Linked DNA regions of Oryzias latipes. The protein of the gene in region 1 interacts with the protein of each later gene in a biochemical or structural test. Links are inferred from orthologs where the notes say so. Each region holds a gene or a part of one and is shown in the gene's direction. Other genes may lie near its edges.

Region 1 (4,338 bases):
TGTTTAGGCGGGTTTTTCATGGAAAGTGCTAGAAGAAACGAAGCACTCCCCTTCGGTATTCTTCCATGTGATTACAAAGACCTAGAGTGTTCGTTGATTCCGTAAAAAATACAGCGTGCTTTTAATTTTTGACATCCAGATATAGAGATTCTATACAAATACTTTTTTTTTTCAACAAAATTTTGACACATTTTTAGAATTTAGACAATTACTAAACGGAAGCTCGTAGATGTAGTTTTTGCTGTATCTTAAATAACCGCTAGATGGCAGCAAAAATCAAATACGATTGATTTTATTCTTAGTTTTGTTTTTAATATAATAAATTTATAACGTTTAGATTTTACCTCCTTGGCCAATCAAAATATTGTGCATGCTATTCCACTATAACTTTTTATCTGTTGATATAAATAATTACATATTTTTCTGGAGGAGCACAGTTAGTTCGAGAAGGAGCGCCGCGGAGGGATCTTGTCCTGCACTGAAACTCATGAGCATATAGATTCGGCGTGCAGCTCCAGAATCCTCCTTTCTTTTTCCTGCGTCAGTGAGCGGCAGGGATAGCACTTTTGTTGCATTTTATTCAAGAAAAGCCAACATAAGAAACAAGGTATGTCTTGGTAATTCACTTCATATTGAGGGAAACCAAACTTTAAATGGTTTATTATTATTCTACACCGAATGTTGAGTCATTTAACGGGTTTTTTTGTTATTTGATTTCGATTCACGTGGTTTGTTTAACCTTGATTCATCGATTAAAAGCATTTCTGACATAGCGGGTTTACTATTCTTAATTAGTAATGGGCTTTAGGTTAAATCTTGTACTAGTGACCGAAAATAAGTGGTGGGCTTTTGCCGCATCTTGTAGGCAGACAGAAGGTATGGAGATTTATTATTGTGAAGGTTGGTTGTACCTGACTGTTTAAAGAATAACATTACCATAGTTTAACGAGCGATTGACGTGTCTTTGTGTATATTTTGCCAACGAAGGATTCTAGATGGACTACTAGTTTAGAATCTTACACCCAGAGTGTGTACATCATGTACATCTTGCATAACCGACACAGGAGTGCTCGTGGTTTTTCGGGGTGATGGTAGTTTTGGGGGCTATTTTTTTGCAGTAAAGCTCCTGAGCGATAATCCAAAATCGTTCGATCTTGATATTCACGGAAGCTTCGGGTTTTTTCGGTTTTAGTCGGCACGTGCTTGCAGCGTCCATTGTCCATGCCTCGCCGCCATGTTTCGCTGCACTTCCGCCCGTATGTTGTAATCTGATGGCAGGGATCCGACTCTGAACCGGTTTCTGAATTGTGGTAGTTTATGGTTTAAAATTATTCATTAAAAAAAATTAAACTAAAAACTACAATCTTAGTAAAATAATTGGCAGTTTATTACCGTATTTTGCGTATTTGTAAGATGTTGTGCTTTTATTTTGGCGTTTCCTGTTGGTTCATCCCATTATTAGTCTGACGCTGTTTGTTGCAAACCTGTTATTTCTTATGCAGATGCCTGAAGAAATGCACCAAGAGGAGGAGGCTGAGACCTTTGCCTTCCAGGCAGAGATTGCTCAGCTGATGTCCCTGATCATCAACACCTTTTATTCCAACAAAGAGATCTTCCTCAGGGAGCTGATCTCCAATGCCTCTGATGTAAGTCTGCAGCAGTTTACGTAACATCGTATCACCTCTGTGTCAATACAGTGAAATATCTTGACGCTGAATTATTTTTAGGCTCTGGACAAAATCCGCTATGAAAGCTTAACTGATCCCTCCAAGCTGGACAGCGGCAAGGATCTGAAAATCGACATCATCCCCAACAAGGCTGACCGCACCTTGACCATTGTTGACACTGGAATTGGCATGACCAAGGCTGACCTTATCAACAACCTGGGTACCATTGCAAAGTCTGGGACAAAGGCTTTCATGGAAGCCCTTCAGGTATTAATATAAACAGGCATAAAGGGGAAAAATACATATACACATTTATATATTTTTTTAGCAGAAGTGAATACAAATTGTGGAACTTTGCCGTTTTCTTCAGGCTGGAGCCGACATCTCCATGATTGGTCAGTTCGGTGTGGGATTTTACTCTGCCTACCTCGTCGCTGAGAGGGTGGTGGTTATCACCAAGCACAACGACGATGAACAGTACGCCTGGGAGTCCTCTGCTGGGGGATCCTTTACCGTCAAGGTCGACAGTGGTATGGATCTTCAAATATTATAATTATGGTGCAACAAACTAAAATCTGACTGTGAAACATTTGTTAACCTCTACAACACTGTTCTCAGGCGAGCCCATTGGCCGTGGAACAAAGATCATCCTGCACCTTAAAGAAGACCAAACGGAGTACATTGAGGAGAAGAGGGTCAAAGAGATCGTGAAGAAGCATTCTCAGTTCATCGGCTACCCCATCACCCTCTTTGTAAGTGATTTGTTTGTTTTTTTACAAACATATTTCTCACTAATAGAAGCTTATGTGGAGTTGTACGTGGTTTATCTATAGGTGGAGAAAGAACGTGACAAGGAGATCAGTGATGATGAGGCAGAGGAGGAAAAAGAAGAGAAGGAGACCAAGGAGGAAGGTGAGGACAAGCCAAAGATTGAGGATGTGGGCTCAGATGATGAAGAAGACGCTAAAGACAAGGGCAAGAAGAAGAAGAAGATCAAGGAGAAGTACATTGACCAGGAAGAGCTGAATAAGACCAAGCCCATCTGGACCAGAAACCCTGATGACATCACGAGTGAGGAGTACGGCGAGTTCTACAAGAGCCTCACAAACGACTGGGAGGATCACCTCGCTGTGAAGGTAAAATAGAGGTTTGGGTGTCTTCTGATCGGCTGATGGAACCTCGTGCTGACGTGTGTTTCTCTTTTAGCACTTTTCAGTGGAAGGTCAGCTGGAATTCAGGGCTCTGCTCTTTGTTCCTCGTCGTGCACCTTTTGACCTCTTTGAGAACAAGAAGAAGAAGAACAACATCAAGCTGTACGTCAGGAGAGTCTTCATCATGGACAACTGTGAAGAGCTCATCCCAGAGTACCTGAGTAAGTTTTAAATCTCTGTTCCACCGGATCTGAAAGGAAATGCACAGCAGCTTTAAAACGTTTTTGTTTGTTTACAACAGACTTCATCCGTGGAGTGGTGGACTCTGAAGACCTGCCCCTCAACATTTCAAGAGAAATGCTGCAGCAGAGCAAGATCTTGAAAGTAATCCGCAAAAACATTGTCAAGAAGTGCCTGGAGCTGTTCGGAGAGCTGGCAGAAGACAAAGAAAACTACAAGAAATTCTATGAAGGTTTCTCAAAGAACATCAAGGTATCTCAAACATATCTGAAGCTTTTCTAAATGATGCCTATAAACTGATGGATTTTTTTTTTCCTGTAAACTTTTAAGGTGTGAAAATAAATCGACACATATTTAGCGTGAAGCCTTGGAATTGGGCAACGCTTGCTGCATTACCCAGAATTTAGTTGAGTAAATCGATCACAACTTTTATGTTCACAGCTCGGCATCCATGAGGATTCTCAGAACCGTAAGAAGCTGTCTGAGCTGCTGCGCTACCACAGCTCCCAGTCTGGAGATGAAATGACTTCCCTCACAGAGTACCTTTCTCGCATGAAGGAGAACCAGAAATCCATTTACTACATCACTGGTAGGTTTGGCTTCCAGTCCATATGTTCTTTTGTTGATTCTTTTGGCACGACTTAAGTTTTTGTTTTTTGCCTCTGAAGGTGAAAGCAAGGACCAGGTTGCCAACTCTGCTTTCGTGGAGCGCGTCCGCAAGCGTGGCTTCGAGGTCCTGTACATGACCGAGCCCATCGACGAGTACTGTGTTCAGCAGCTGAAGGAGTTTGATGGCAAGAACCTGGTTTCTGTCACCAAAGAGGGCTTGGAGCTGCCAGAGGATGAGGAGGAAAAGAAGAAGATGGAGGATGACAAGGCCAAGTTTGAGAACCTCTGCAAGCTCATGAAAGAGATTCTGGACAAGAAAGTAGAGAAGGTTGGTCTCAAATAAGAAACTGTGCTTTTGCTCCTCATTTCTTCACCATCATTTCCTTAACTTCAGTGGTGTTTTGTTTGGAAACAGGTTTCCTAGTGGTAACTACTTATATTGGTGAGTTCATACAGAGTAGAAGTGGCCTGTAGAGTTTCTAGCGTTGCCTGATATTTGAGTTGAAAGGGTTTGGTTTTGCAAGAGCCTGATAAGTCTGACAGCGACGTGAGTTCTAACAATGTTTGTCTTTTGAGGCTGTGTCTAACACTCGATGAAATCAGCATCACACAAACGGCCTGAACCGCATGCGTGTATTGCATTCCAGTGGTCGGTTTTCTCAAACCGATGC
Region 2 (4,329 bases), on another chromosome or scaffold:
ACGCCTATAATCATTGTTTGGTAGATGTTCATTAATGTGCACTGTCCCTATTAAACAAAGCTTAAATAAAATAAAATCATTTTAAAATGTCCTGGCTTTCAAACAACATTCGATTTATTGCCTATTAGTTGCAATGTTACAACCAACACTCTTATGGTTTTCTTTTGCCTTTCTTAGTTTTAATCCATTGGACACATGCAACAGGATATTTATTTACCTTGACATTAAGACAGAGACTGGACTCAAAAATGTCCAGGAAAAGACTTACCTTTCTTTGTTTGACAAAGCACAAAATAACTTAACAAAACGTAGAAGACAAAAATAACGTTACATTTTGATTTTCTAACCATTGTTCCAAGTTTGTTTCTTTATATCCAAGAACATGTCAACTGTGACATTGTTTTAGCTACGAAACCTCCAACTCGTAATGTCGGTCCGTAACATTTCATCATAAACTTTTGTGTTTGTATCATTAACTACTAGTGTATTTTTTTATTCCGAATTTTAGGATTTACAAAATTCAAAATGCTTAGCTAACTTGTTAGCTGCTATTCGATAGCGCATAACAATAAACTACATAGTACGAAAGACTTACGGTTATCGTCGGTTCAACGTCTACCTCCTCCATCGGATGAAACTTTTTAGATCCTTTTAAATTTCAAACTATGAACTTTTTCACCTTAATCATGCCATTTAACACGTGCTATAATATAGCAACGCTTGCGCGCCTCTCTTTTTCTACGACTATCTCGCGCATGCGTCAAATGTAGGACTGTCCTACTTAATGCCTGTTTTGTTTTTTGTTTTTTTAAATTTGCAAGTACAGTACTTTCTTTTACTTTTAATCTACGTCAAGAAAACTGACATGACTGAAGCAAATAACACTATCTTTAGAATCGATATACATTTAAAAGTCGAAGTAATTTTATTCCGAAAACGTGTAACATATTCTCAGAATCAGGAAGATACAATCGTATCATATTGTTAATATACATTAAAACGTTATATAAGTTAGCTATCTTAGAAAATATATCGCCATATCGGTAAATGTTGTCGTTTAGTCGGTGCCTGTTTTTTATTGTAACAAAAAAAGAAAGAAAAACCAAGATGGCCACTGGGCTATAATGAGGGGTTAAAATAAGGAGAGTACTAATATATCACGCTGTACATCTAATACCGATCATATGGGCGCTTTATGAAACGTGCAGCACTGATACTAGTCTTCGGCGTGACGATGAACAGATTTCCTTCGTATATAATAGACCTAAACCAAAAACAAAAGGGAAAAATTCTGCCGTGCGCGTGCATGTGAAGCCGAGTATCTCTGTAACGCGCAGGCGGTAGTCTCCCGCCCATAACTAGACTGCGCTTTAGTCCACGTGACTTCATGCGGCCAATTAAATCCTTGTTCAGTGAACGCGCATTGACACATGCCCGCGCACGTTTCCCCGAATAATTTAAACGGGAACGAGTACGTGCGCGCACTCATATTCTTTGTGTGGTAGCATAGAGAAGCGCCAAAAGAGTGACGATGGCTGATGAAAAACCAAAGGTAAGTGACCCCATTGTCAATTACGATGCTATTACAAATTAACTGGATCGCCGATCTTAAAGGTGAATTTACATTCCCGCGTGTGCTGTTCGTATTTTTTTAAATAAAAAAGTTAAGTGATAAGATTCAACTGTACCTACTTTGATGGACCGGAAGGTATGTGAGCGCGCATGGACTGGCGCGCACGTCGCTTTTAGGCTGATTACATCCCGCCAACCAGCTGGTGTCGTTCTCTATAAATCTTGCGGTTTTCTTGCGTTGTGTTTGTGTGGTAATTAAGTTGTCTGTGTTTTGTAATGACGCACCAGAATGGAAAAAATAAACAAGAAAACGAACTGTTTGTATTTAGTCTCTAGACTAAACTGTTCTAGTCAGTCTGCAACACTTTGGCTTGACTCGTTGAAGAAAACGGGTTATAACAACTGGATACCAAAAATAAAATATTCAAATACTTGAAACTAATATTTAACAATGAATACGTGTTTTTTAGCATCTGTTTTTCATACGGCCTACAATTATGTTTCTATCCCTGGTAATTCTGGTATTTTATCTTTTTATTTTTCCACTCTGACAAACATAAAGAACTATAGAACAAACAATCTGCATGATAAACATTGCAACCCACTTGCCTCACAAAACGAACCTTTTTTGTAAATAAATAAATTAAATTAACTTTTTTCTGGTACAACAGAATGGTTAAATCCAGGTACATAGGTGTGACTTGTTGTGTGTCTTGGATCGTGTTTCCTTAAGTTAAAGGTCTTCTTAATTGGAGGACAGGTCTTCTTAATTTTTTTTCTTAGTCTCTAAATTTTGAATGTTGAACCCCAAGAAAAATGGTTCCTATCAATAGGTGTGTTAATGGTCAGAAAAGCTCTGAGCATTGAAACAAAGAAAGAAACCATCGAGCTGCACCTGACGTTCAAGGTGCGTCCTGCCGAACTGTATGACCACGGGGGAACAGCAACGAGGTCAGAAAACTATTCAGAGATGAAGATGAGAGGCAGACGGAGGCAGAGCTCATCTGCGAGAAAGTCAGGGTATGAAGAAATAAAGAAGTACAAATGCAGAAGGAGCTAAAACAGAAGAAGAAGAATCCAAGGCTGTTTGAGTGGCCTTGCACGGAGAGGTAGCTAGGACCGACAAAGCTGCTGCTGAGAGGTTTGCAGGAGAATTTCAGGTGTTAGTTTGGGAAGAAGGCCACAGCCCTCATCAGCTTTTCAACTGAAGCAAAAATGGCCTCTTCTGGAAGAAGTGACCCAACTTGCATCACCAAGGAGGAGAAAAGACCTCCTGGACACAAACCCATTAAGGAAAAACAGAAGGGGATGACTCTCCTCAGAAGATGAGAAGAGCAAAAGGTCAATTCCTTCCATCACCATCAAGAACACACTTAAGAAGTAGGACCAAGACGTCCATTCAGTGGCACCCCAACCAAACTGAAGTCTACAGACTAGTGAATTTGTTGAAGGTCATGGTCATTTCAGGAACATACTCAAAAATGGAGGAGAAACAGACTTTGGCTAAGTTCTTCCAGCCAGGGTGACTAAGAAACTTCAACCTGTTGAAGCTAAAGAACAGACCTATTCTCCACTCAATATTAGGCCACTCAAGGAGAGTCCGTCTCACCTGTCGGCGCTCTTTTGATGGAGCTGGAAATTTTATTTCCCTACATTATTCCTCTTTTTTGTGGCGATGTTGCACACATTGCCAGATTTCACATCGACTTTGGAAAATCATGTCATCCGTTCTACAAATTTAAAGAAAAATAGTATTAAAAAAAAGAATATTCAAGAAAGAAAAACCAGAAGAAACCAAACCAAATGGGGGCAAACATGCTTTATCTTCTTAATGCCTGCTGCACCACCTTTATGGTTTTATTTACACGTGTTTGTGGTTTTCATGGGAACCTGCCACCAACAAGTAAGTGGGCGATTATGATCCCACATGCGATGTAGTTTTGGTGCGACTGGCTGCTGTTGCCATAGTGGTCCTGCCCAGAGGACGGTCTGTACCATTTATCACAACCAGAGGCTCTGGCCTGCATTGTGTAACAGAGGAAAAAACAAACATGCCCAGGTTTGCCATCACACTGGCGTCCAGTCTGTTTGTTTTCAATAACCTAACCAGGAGATGGGGATGATTGGCGGCTTTTAAGCACTGTACCGAGCCTTGCACCGAAGGGTAACAGTCTTCATCTGAATGACACGGCACACAACTGTCTGGATTTGGCCTTTTCCCCCAGAAAATCAATTGTTCGCTGCAAACAGGCTTCGTTACGTGATGTTAATTTGTTTTGCGAGGCATGCAGGCATCCAAGGCAGATAGTTTTTTGTGTGTGGGGTATTTGTTATGCAAGGAACCACTGTTATTTGTGTCTAAAATGACCTGTCCTGTTTGTTGTTTCTTAAACCGTTACAATATTTATTTATTTATTTCTTTATTTATTTATTTCTTTTTGTAGGAAGGAGTGAAGACTGAAAATAACGAACACATAAATCTAAAGGTAGCAGGTCAGGATGGATCTGTCGTGCAGTTCAAGATCAAAAGACACACACCGCTCATCAAACTTATGAAGGCATATTGTGAGAGACAGGTAAGTATAATCCCCTATTAGACAACAAACACACAAAACGGTGGCGATTCAGGAAAACTATCATAATCACAACGCTTATACAAAAAGTAAAGGTTCGTTAAAAAGTAGTTAGATCATTTAAACTTTGTATTACCCAAGGAATATGTTTTTATATCCCTATATAAGCAAAAGTATTGTGGAA
Region 3 (4,172 bases), on another chromosome or scaffold:
TAAATAAAAATATTAATCGATGAAAATTCAAGTTAGCTCGAGATAAATAAATTCTGACCGTTGTGGGTGGACAGAGCAATCCCCGTTTAACCAGAACGTGTTACAGTGCTAACCTCACGAGACCTCAACCCCTCACGCGGGAGCGCGCACGCGCTCATTACTGGCTCGTTTGTGTTATCGAGCTTTTACCAAATTCATTATCTGTCGATCTGAGTTGCTCGTTTGCATAAATGATATGGTTAGTATCGCTTGTATTACTGAATACACCAGTTAATAATACCCCAATAACACAGACTGAACCACCTCTTACACCACCTGCATGTTATCAGTTGAAGAAACTGTCCATCTATCTACAATACTTGTCAATACATCACTATTTATCCTACAATGTGTGAGAAGAAAAAAAAGATTTGGGTGATCAAGCCACATGTAACCTTTTCACACTCTATTCACATTACAATTTGCCTTTTTTGTGAAATACAATACCACGTGTTACATCCTCTATTTGGTACGTTTCTTTTGGTGGCAAAGAGTGTTAAATAAACCCCTTTTCTGTAATCAATTTATTATATTTTATTTGTTTGTTCATTGTTTTTTCTTCTTCACCTTGGATACTTGTGAATTTGTTACACTAAAATATTAATTTATTCAGTAAGGTTCTACTCCATTCTGTTCCATTATACTAAATTTATATCATGTTGTCCTTTGTTTGAGTTTTATTCTAATAAATGAATGCTAAAAAAACCTCTATTGGATTTTTATTTATGTTTCATTCATTTTTTTAATTTAATGTGACAATGTTTGACACATATTTTGTTCAAGAAAATATTTTTTACCTAAATGTTTTTTTCTAGTGATTCATTAGAAAATAACGTATTGATGTTACACAATATTTTACCAAAGTGACCAAAAAGCACTACAATGCATTTTTGTTTATACAAAGGAAATTTCCGTATTAATGTTAAAATATTAGCAAAGTAAAACTGATGAATATTTATTGTATTTAAACATGTATGTTTTAAATTTTAAAAATGTTAACCTTGTCAACACCCTTAAATATGTGATGACATTTAAAAGTATGAGTTTCTCTTCAATATTATAGTTACGTGGATGCTGGTGTTGCTCAAAATATAAACGCTTAATTTAACCTTTTTTCAGACTTCTGTTCTTACTCTTGTAAGTGAATGCGCTTGTATCTTCAATTTGAGCTTTTACATTAGGCATAGAGGAGAGTAAAACTTCAAGGGCTGGGTTTTGAGAGTTTTTTTCCCAATTCATCTTCTGGAAGTTTCAGTCAGGAGGCTATATATTGCTCGTCAGAGGCTCCACGCGAGTTCGTCGCTGTTTGCGGATCTTCTACAACAATCTGGCAACCCGCACGTGTTCAGGGGGAGGCGCTAGTCCGCAGTAGTTTCTGGAACGTACCTCATGCTTGTATCATGGAGAAAGTAAGTCTCGTGTAATCGCATTTTCTTCTTCTTTCAAAACAAACATTTAAAATGGGTTTTTAAAGAATTGTGCAATGTTGAGATGAAACGAGTTTTCTTAAAAATCGTAGTTAAAAAAATTGTCTTAGTTTTAATCCTTAGCTTGAAGAGATTCACTTTGCTAATGCATCGAGCTAGCTTAATGTTAGCTAACCGTCATTCAATGTGGTCACTTAGAATGGAAGGTGTAGCTGAGCTTTGAGTTTTCCGTAAAACATTTTCATTTTATGTTAAAGTCCAAATAGTCTTGCGATATTTCCAGGTAACAACGCATGTGTGTCCAGTTAAGCTAATTAGCCATGATACGAAAATTCTACTGAAACTCCACTAATTTGAACTAAACGTGTTTGATTTATAAAAAAAATGTATATACATATTGGTTCATTTCTTTTCTGTCTTTGCCCATGCTTATCCTTAACCCTCGTAGCTTCAGACTAGTTCGCAAATCTTTGACATTGCAAGTACGAAATAACGATTTAAATTACGTTCATAATGCAACTAGTTGTATATTTTTGTATGTATTAGAGATTGCTAGTTTATATGCTCTCGTTCTAGTGTGGCACACAGCGCTTAAGTACTTTTCGATCGGCTGTATATGTTTAAGTAGCCTGCTCTCACACCGGAGGATCATTCTAGATGCACAGGTCGCTGCTGCCATGGCTACAGCCGCATGTCGTCGGAAATTGTCGCGCATTTTTCCGGTTTTTAAATTGTAGTATTTTGGTCCCAATTTGAACGTCTCTCTAAAAAAAATTTAAAGTCTCGTTTTCTCCAAACCTGTCGCAAATATTTAGTGATAAATATTGCAATAATATTTACTGGCAACAGCGTTAGCAACTATATGTATATGTATGCTAATCATGTAAAAATTATATTTTCTTAATATCCAGCGTTTGTTGTTCATGGGATCAACTAATGTTAATCCCCTAATCTGTGGTGATCTGGCTGTAATTACATGTTGTGACTTAATTAGTCTGTAAAACTGAAAATGATTTAAATCCTAAAGGGTCTTTTAACAGTAAGCTTTGAATTCACACGTGTAATTAATACTTTACAAAAGGTAATTACATGTGATGTAATGGGTCTTAAGCTGTATTTAAACTTTTGTTATCAACCCACAAATATAGAAATATGAGTCCTCTCAATTTCATCTTATAAAGATTGCATTGATAAATTAATGATCATAAACTTTAAATGTGAAATTTGATCAAAGGAGACAAACAGGCACAAACATTGGTTGTTTATTCACAAAACTTGGGGACATACTCATTTTAGTTGACCTGCTCAGAAAATACTTCTTTCTCTTCTTGGATGACCCCCCATTGAAAAAGTCATATTTGACGTTTTCAACATCCACTACTTTCATTAAATAGACTAAAAAGAAGTTTTCAAATCTGTTCTAATTGTATTTTAAAGCTCTTATATTGAACTTGGTCTGAAGAATAGTGTAAAGTTGTGAAAATTTGTTTTTTTTTTCTTCTTCTTTTTTTTGACAAGAATGAATTTCATAGAGCCATCACACCTGCATGACAACTGACTGTACTCTTTACTTTAGAAAAGATGGAAATGGACCATTGCAAGTGATATGTTCTCTTCCTTTTCAGTGCGATGAATTACCAAAGTTTGAATTTACTCATCTCTATTTGTGCCGTTTATTAAATGTATTGTTTCTTTGGACAGACTTCTCACTTCAGTCTGAAGTAATGAAATTTAGTTTATGAACAGATCTTTGAGTCCATTTAGAAATTAAAGCAAAATCTGGCCATTTTTTCAAATGTTTAATTTATTATCAAAGGTGTTGGGAACAGCTTCGACTGCGAGCTGGTGTGAAGCTTTATGTGTTTTTTCAATTTTAACTCTGATAACAGAAACGAAAGAAAAGACACAAGTTACCCAATTGGGTTTTATTGGATTAAGTGCAGTGTGTGGAGGAATGCAAACTTCTTTTACATTACAAGCTTAATGTGTTGGACCAGGAATCATTATATCTCACAAAGTATCGATTTAATGTTGTTATTTTTTTTACATTTTCATTCAAACGTAGTATCTTCTGGTGACGAGAACAACCTTTTGTATAACTATCAAAGAAGTAGGTTGATAAAAAAGCAGTCAATTGGACTTGGTTTCACATTTAATATTTTTCCAAAAGCCTTTCCTTAATCTGAAATGCATTACTAAGAGAGCAGGTTAATCTGCTCCTTAAGGCAAGGCAACCCAATGCTTAGGAGACTGAATATACCCTCATCACAAACGTCAATGTTCATAGCTTTTTTACATTTTTAAGTGGGCAATTTTGTTTATTTGTGCCTCTTTTACTCTCATTTGCCCCTGTTATGGATGTTTAAACTGTTTCTGGAGTTTCTCTTTATGGTGTGGATAAATTTCGTCTGTACAGATGAAGGAGAAATTCTCCATTCATTGTGGTCTTATTGTTTGTTTTTTCATGATCAGTTCTTAGGCTGTTTTTCAGCTCCTCTATATGGCATTTTTTGTATGCAAACTTTGATCTGGTGCTAATAAGCATGTTGGGTTTTGATGTTTTTCTAGATTTCAGCATTGAAGGAGCAGGGCAACAAAGCCCTGAGTGCAGGGAATATCGATGAAGCTGTGCGTTGCTACACGGAGGCCTTGGCTCTCGACCAATCCAACCATGTTCTGTACAGCAACCGCTCAGCTGCTTATGCC
Region 4 (4,345 bases), on another chromosome or scaffold:
TCTTTGTGAGTTGGATGTCTCAAGAAAACTGATTCATAAAAAATGTTTTTAATATTATAACCGTTGCTGAAAAATCCCTTTGATGATTTAAAAATGTTTACATTTGTCAACTGAATCCAGAATAAGTATAAATGTATCATCAAATTTATTTTGGCACACATCTTTATTTGGCACATATCTTTATTAGAGTCACTACATAACACAGTGATGCAATGGTAATTCATAATATTGTACTAAACTACTTAATAACAGATTACATTAAAGATTTGACTCACATTTAAAAAAACGAGTAGCCCGATGATGCCATCTTCTGGCCAATACACTAGATTTCCTGTGCTGATCTTTTACAAGTGCAATGAGAAACCACCCAGTTGTCTTTTTCTGTATCTTGGTGTGTAAAATTGGTAGTTCAACTGCAAAAAATGCAAATATTTCTGATCATATTTTTTAAAATAACTCCTCTTTACACATTTCAGATTTGTATAAACGTCTCAAACAACCTCAGGTAAACCCATCTTTCCATTTCTTGCTCTCATATTTTTGCTTATTCAGATTTAAATGAGTGATTGTAAAGATGCATAAAAATAACAGGAAATATTTAGGTGTGGCTTCATTTCATTTTCAAACCATATTTGAGAAAAAAATACTTTTCTGAATGTTAAAAAATATATACGTTTTTTTTTTTCAATTACATTTTTATGCTTACAGCAGCATAAAAGCATAAAAAACGCAGTCTGCCCTGGACAGACTGGCGACCTGTCCAGGGCATCCCCTGCCTACGCCAAAGTAGCCGAGATAGGCTCCGGCAGCCCCGTGACCCCGAAAGGGACAAAGCGATACAGAAAAAAAATGAATTTTTATGCTTCTCTTAACATAAGCAAAGTCTCATGTTAAAATTTGGCATCAAGCTAATATAAAAAGTGAAAAATGAGTAAAGACATAAAAAGCACCAAATCAAATAGAACAGATTTATCATCTTCAATGCTTTTGGATTAGTGCAATAACAGAAGTTTAAGGAAGACAAAATAATAATAATAAATTATTTCCATTAATATCAATTATTTTACTAATAATTTCGAATCAGATATAAACAAACACTTTTATTTGATAGGGTGTTGTTATAGTATTTTGTCTAACGTAATGTAAGGTCAGTACCTATTTTCTATACAACTAACCATCACTCAGAGATAAGGTGTGGTTACTTGTATCAGTAGTCAGCTATGTTAGTTCTAACCACTAGCACTGATACCAGGGTCTTCTCACATATAGAAGGCCCCTGTTTCACGTTGTTTGCATGCTCTTCTCACAGCTCCAATGACCCTCTATGATTAATTTAGGATTAAAGATAAAGGGCTGGCATTCTATAAAGCCAAATTATGAGAGCAGTCCCAATACAGATGAGGGTTTGTTCCCACAGTACTTTTACAGAAATGAGCACAGAAACTTTACATTGTTATGATACTTGAAGATAACCTCTGCGCAAACTCCCATCAGGATTCGTGTGCTCTCGGCTTCCGTTGTTAGAGCGTAAAGCGTTTGACGTCAGCACCACAACATTCCGTCTTGACAGTTCGTACGGGTGGTAAAAATAATCCGTAACGATTTTATATCAAACTAAATTAAATCTGTTTGAGCTGAATGTAAAATTTCTGATTAAAGGTAAGGGTGGGTACTATGTAAAACTTTATTTAAGCCTCCAACAAACTGAAACGGACGTGAAGCAACTGTAATGCAAAAAGGCTAAGCTAGCACTAGCTAGTTTATGTTTTTTGAAGAAACCGAGCTGCGTTGTGGTAAATATTGAAATCCTTGAACAAGTAGTTATGGTTTTACTATCCTCTGCTTCAATTCACCAGAATCTACCCTAAATTAAATGTCAATAAAATTGATTAGAGACACAAAAGCTGTACTATGTCCCCAAACAAAATAATTTCAAGATAAAAGCTTAGCTAATTTTAGCATAGCATCGATTCTCCTCCTCTGTTTGTTTGTAAGTTAGCAATCTTATTTTTGTGTTTCTTGTCGTGTAACAATAATATACAATTTTTCGTTAACTTAAATATATTATCTTGTATCTGGTGTTTTTACTCGAAACCTGAGTGGATGTGTAAATTAATGGTTCTGGATTTTTTTTAAATAGCTGTGCTCGCTGATGGCCATCGATTTCCGAATGTGAATAGTTAATTCGCCGGCAGTCTAGCTGTGATTTTCAGCGGCGTGCACTGTCAGCAAACCCGAATGAATGCATTCTGAGCGGCACCAAGCAGCAGCGTTGCGCCGAGAGATCGTTGAAGAAGCAGCGCATTGCAGGTGCATCGCTAACTCAGCACGCGCCTGTGTTTTAGTGTGTGAGATCCAAGCCGGACGGGACGTTCTGAAAACCTGTTGTCTAGCCAGCCGAAGAGACGGGGAACAGGATAGGGAAACAGGGCGAAGCGGGCCCCGCGGAGCCGGTGGAGAAGATGGCCGGCAGCCCGGAGAAGAGTTCCACCGCGCAGGAGTTCAAGGAGCAGGGGAACCGGCTTTTCCTCTGCCGCAAGTACCAGGATGCTGCCTCTTGCTATAGTAAAGCTATTGTAAGCGTCTGGGATTTCTCATCCAAACACTAATGGCGAAGACTAAACAGTTTGCGCGTAAATACTCTTTATTTTCCCCATTGTGTCTTCCAGAACCGCAATCCATCAGTGGCAGTATACTACACCAACAGGGCCCTCTGCCACGTGAAGCTGCAGCAGTATGACAAGGCTCTGACAGATTGTAAGCATGCACTGGAGCTGGATAGTCAGTCTGTTAAAGCCCACTTCTTCCTGGGCCAGTGTCACCTGGAGCTGGAGAACTACGATGAGGCAATCGGCAATTTGCAAAAAGGTCAGAAACTAGTTTGATTTTTCTCTCCTAGCCGTTCGTGTCGGGTTTTCTTAATCATAACACCAGAACAAAGGATCACAACCTTTAGGTGTTGAAGATGGATCAGTTCACTTGTGCTTTTATTGTGGGATTCTAACAAAAAAGAATTTTCTGTGGGGATGAGAAAATCAAACTTGCACATGTTCTTAAAGGCACCAGCAGTTACAAATCAATGCATTTACCTTAAAACCAGAGCATTTCATCAACTTTAGGTACATTAAGAAGAAAATGACAAAATAAAAAGTATCAAAAACTGTAACGGATTATTTTTGCAAAGGTTTCCTGAACCTTCAAATGTATCAGACAAATGTAAGTCCATATGCAATCATGGTAGTTAATCTGTCCAAGCATATTAACAGAAAATAGAGTGGAAAGAAAAAAGACTTTCAACAGAGAAAATCCATGCAAAATTCTGATTTATTTCACCATCATCAGAGTTAGACGTTTTTTTTTGTTTTTTGTTTTTTACCTGGGCTCATTAGAAAAGAACCAGACAGATGCTTAGTGGTCCAAAAGTAAAGGTTGTATTTCATTTGGAGACGCACAGACCCGATGTTGCCTGAAGGGTCTTGTGAAGCTTCCACAGTCAGGGATGATGTAGGTCCATGTTTTTTTGAAGTCTACACAAAGTTCTGTAGCACTTCATGCTGCCTTTTGGTGTTGAGCTCATTGGAGCTGCAGATTCAATTTTCCTGCAGGACATGGGGCCCGCCCACTCTGCCAAAAGAACCAAAAGCTGGTTCAATTAATAGTATTACTGTGGCTGATAGCACATTCCCCTGACCTGAACCCTATTATGAATCTATTGTCTCTTGTTTGGAGGAAGATGAGACACCAGACTCAATAATGCAGATAATGTGAAGGCAGCACATAGAAACCTCCATTACTTCTACATAGAGCCACACGCTTCATATCCTCAGTGCATTGATGCAGTGATTCACATAGAGGAGCCCTAACCAAGCTAAGTGATAGAAATGAAGGCATTTGAACATTTAGGTTGTAAACATCTTTTTCTATTATTTTGATGATAAAAGCTAATATTCTGACACATTCTATTATTTAGATTAATTATCTTCAACGTTACAATAAATCAATGCTCGACATATTTCAATCAATTATATGCCGTTTACCATTTAATTTGTGTGTATAAATGTATGTTTGTGTGTGTGTGTGTGTGTGCGTGCGTGCTTGGGTTTTGATCATATTGTGATTTATTTGTCTTGCTGCAGTTTTGGGTTTGGATTCAGCACAGATAACTTTTGTAGTGATTAAGAGCAGAATTACATGTTTATTGTCTCACTACGCTGTTACACACGCCTGCAAACATACAATTCTTACATTGGTCTTGTTTGTCTCTGTGCCGTGTCAAGTGTTAAAAAATGGGCAGATGATCTCTGTCTAAAGTGAATCCTATTGTTTGCTGTTTTGGTTAAGATCT

The links.
Region 2: the proteins of hsp90ab1 (region 1) and sumo2 form a complex in vitro, tested with the Homo sapiens proteins (2 studies listed by BioGRID). The link is inferred for Oryzias latipes from reciprocal best matches to the Homo sapiens genes HSP90AB1 and SUMO2.
Region 3: the proteins of hsp90ab1 (region 1) and stip1 form a complex in vitro, tested with the Homo sapiens proteins (2 studies listed by BioGRID and IntAct, with this or other methods). The link is inferred for Oryzias latipes from reciprocal best matches to the Homo sapiens genes HSP90AB1 and STIP1.
Region 4: the proteins of hsp90ab1 (region 1) and stub1 form a complex in vitro, tested with the Homo sapiens proteins (3 studies listed by BioGRID and IntAct, with this or other methods). The link is inferred for Oryzias latipes from reciprocal best matches to the Homo sapiens genes HSP90AB1 and STUB1.

What each region holds. Positions count from the first base shown.
Region 1 is NC_019882.2:5,881,849-5,886,186, forward strand, and holds the start of hsp90ab1 (heat shock protein HSP 90-beta), read left to right. Parts: upstream 1-1,496; coding exon 1,497-1,646; intron 1,647-1,727; coding exon 1,728-1,934; intron 1,935-2,037; coding exon 2,038-2,197; intron 2,198-2,285; coding exon 2,286-2,419; intron 2,420-2,500; coding exon 2,501-2,803; intron 2,804-2,873; coding exon 2,874-3,039; intron 3,040-3,119; coding exon 3,120-3,310; intron 3,311-3,499; coding exon 3,500-3,647; intron 3,648-3,726; coding exon 3,727-3,995; intron 3,996-4,082; exon of another isoform or gene 4,083-4,109; intron 4,110-4,338. UniProt on the Homo sapiens protein: Molecular chaperone that promotes the maturation, structural maintenance and proper regulation of specific target proteins involved for instance in cell cycle control and signal transduction. Undergoes a functional cycle linked to its ATPase activity.
Region 2 is NC_019866.2:13,022,357-13,026,685, forward strand, and holds the start of sumo2 (small ubiquitin-related modifier 2), read left to right. Parts: upstream 1-1,513; 5' UTR 1,514-1,531; coding exon 1,532-1,552; intron 1,553-4,016; coding exon 4,017-4,148; intron 4,149-4,329. Other genes in the region: nuclear pore complex protein Nup85, read right to left, coding at 596-628. UniProt on the Homo sapiens protein: Ubiquitin-like protein that can be covalently attached to proteins as a monomer or as a lysine-linked polymer.
Region 3 is NC_019872.2:19,986,826-19,990,997, reverse strand, and holds the start of stip1 (stress-induced-phosphoprotein 1), read left to right. Parts: upstream 1-1,323; 5' UTR 1,324-1,439; coding exon 1,440-1,448; intron 1,449-4,034; coding exon 4,035-4,172. UniProt on the Homo sapiens protein: Acts as a co-chaperone for HSP90AA1. Mediates the association of the molecular chaperones HSPA8/HSC70 and HSP90.
Region 4 is NC_019877.2:8,954,539-8,958,883, reverse strand, and holds the start of stub1 (E3 ubiquitin-protein ligase CHIP), read left to right. Parts: upstream 1-1,522; 5' UTR 1,523-1,793; intron 1,794-2,345; 5' UTR 2,346-2,462; coding exon 2,463-2,576; intron 2,577-2,669; coding exon 2,670-2,868; intron 2,869-4,345. UniProt on the Homo sapiens protein: E3 ubiquitin-protein ligase which targets misfolded chaperone substrates towards proteasomal degradation.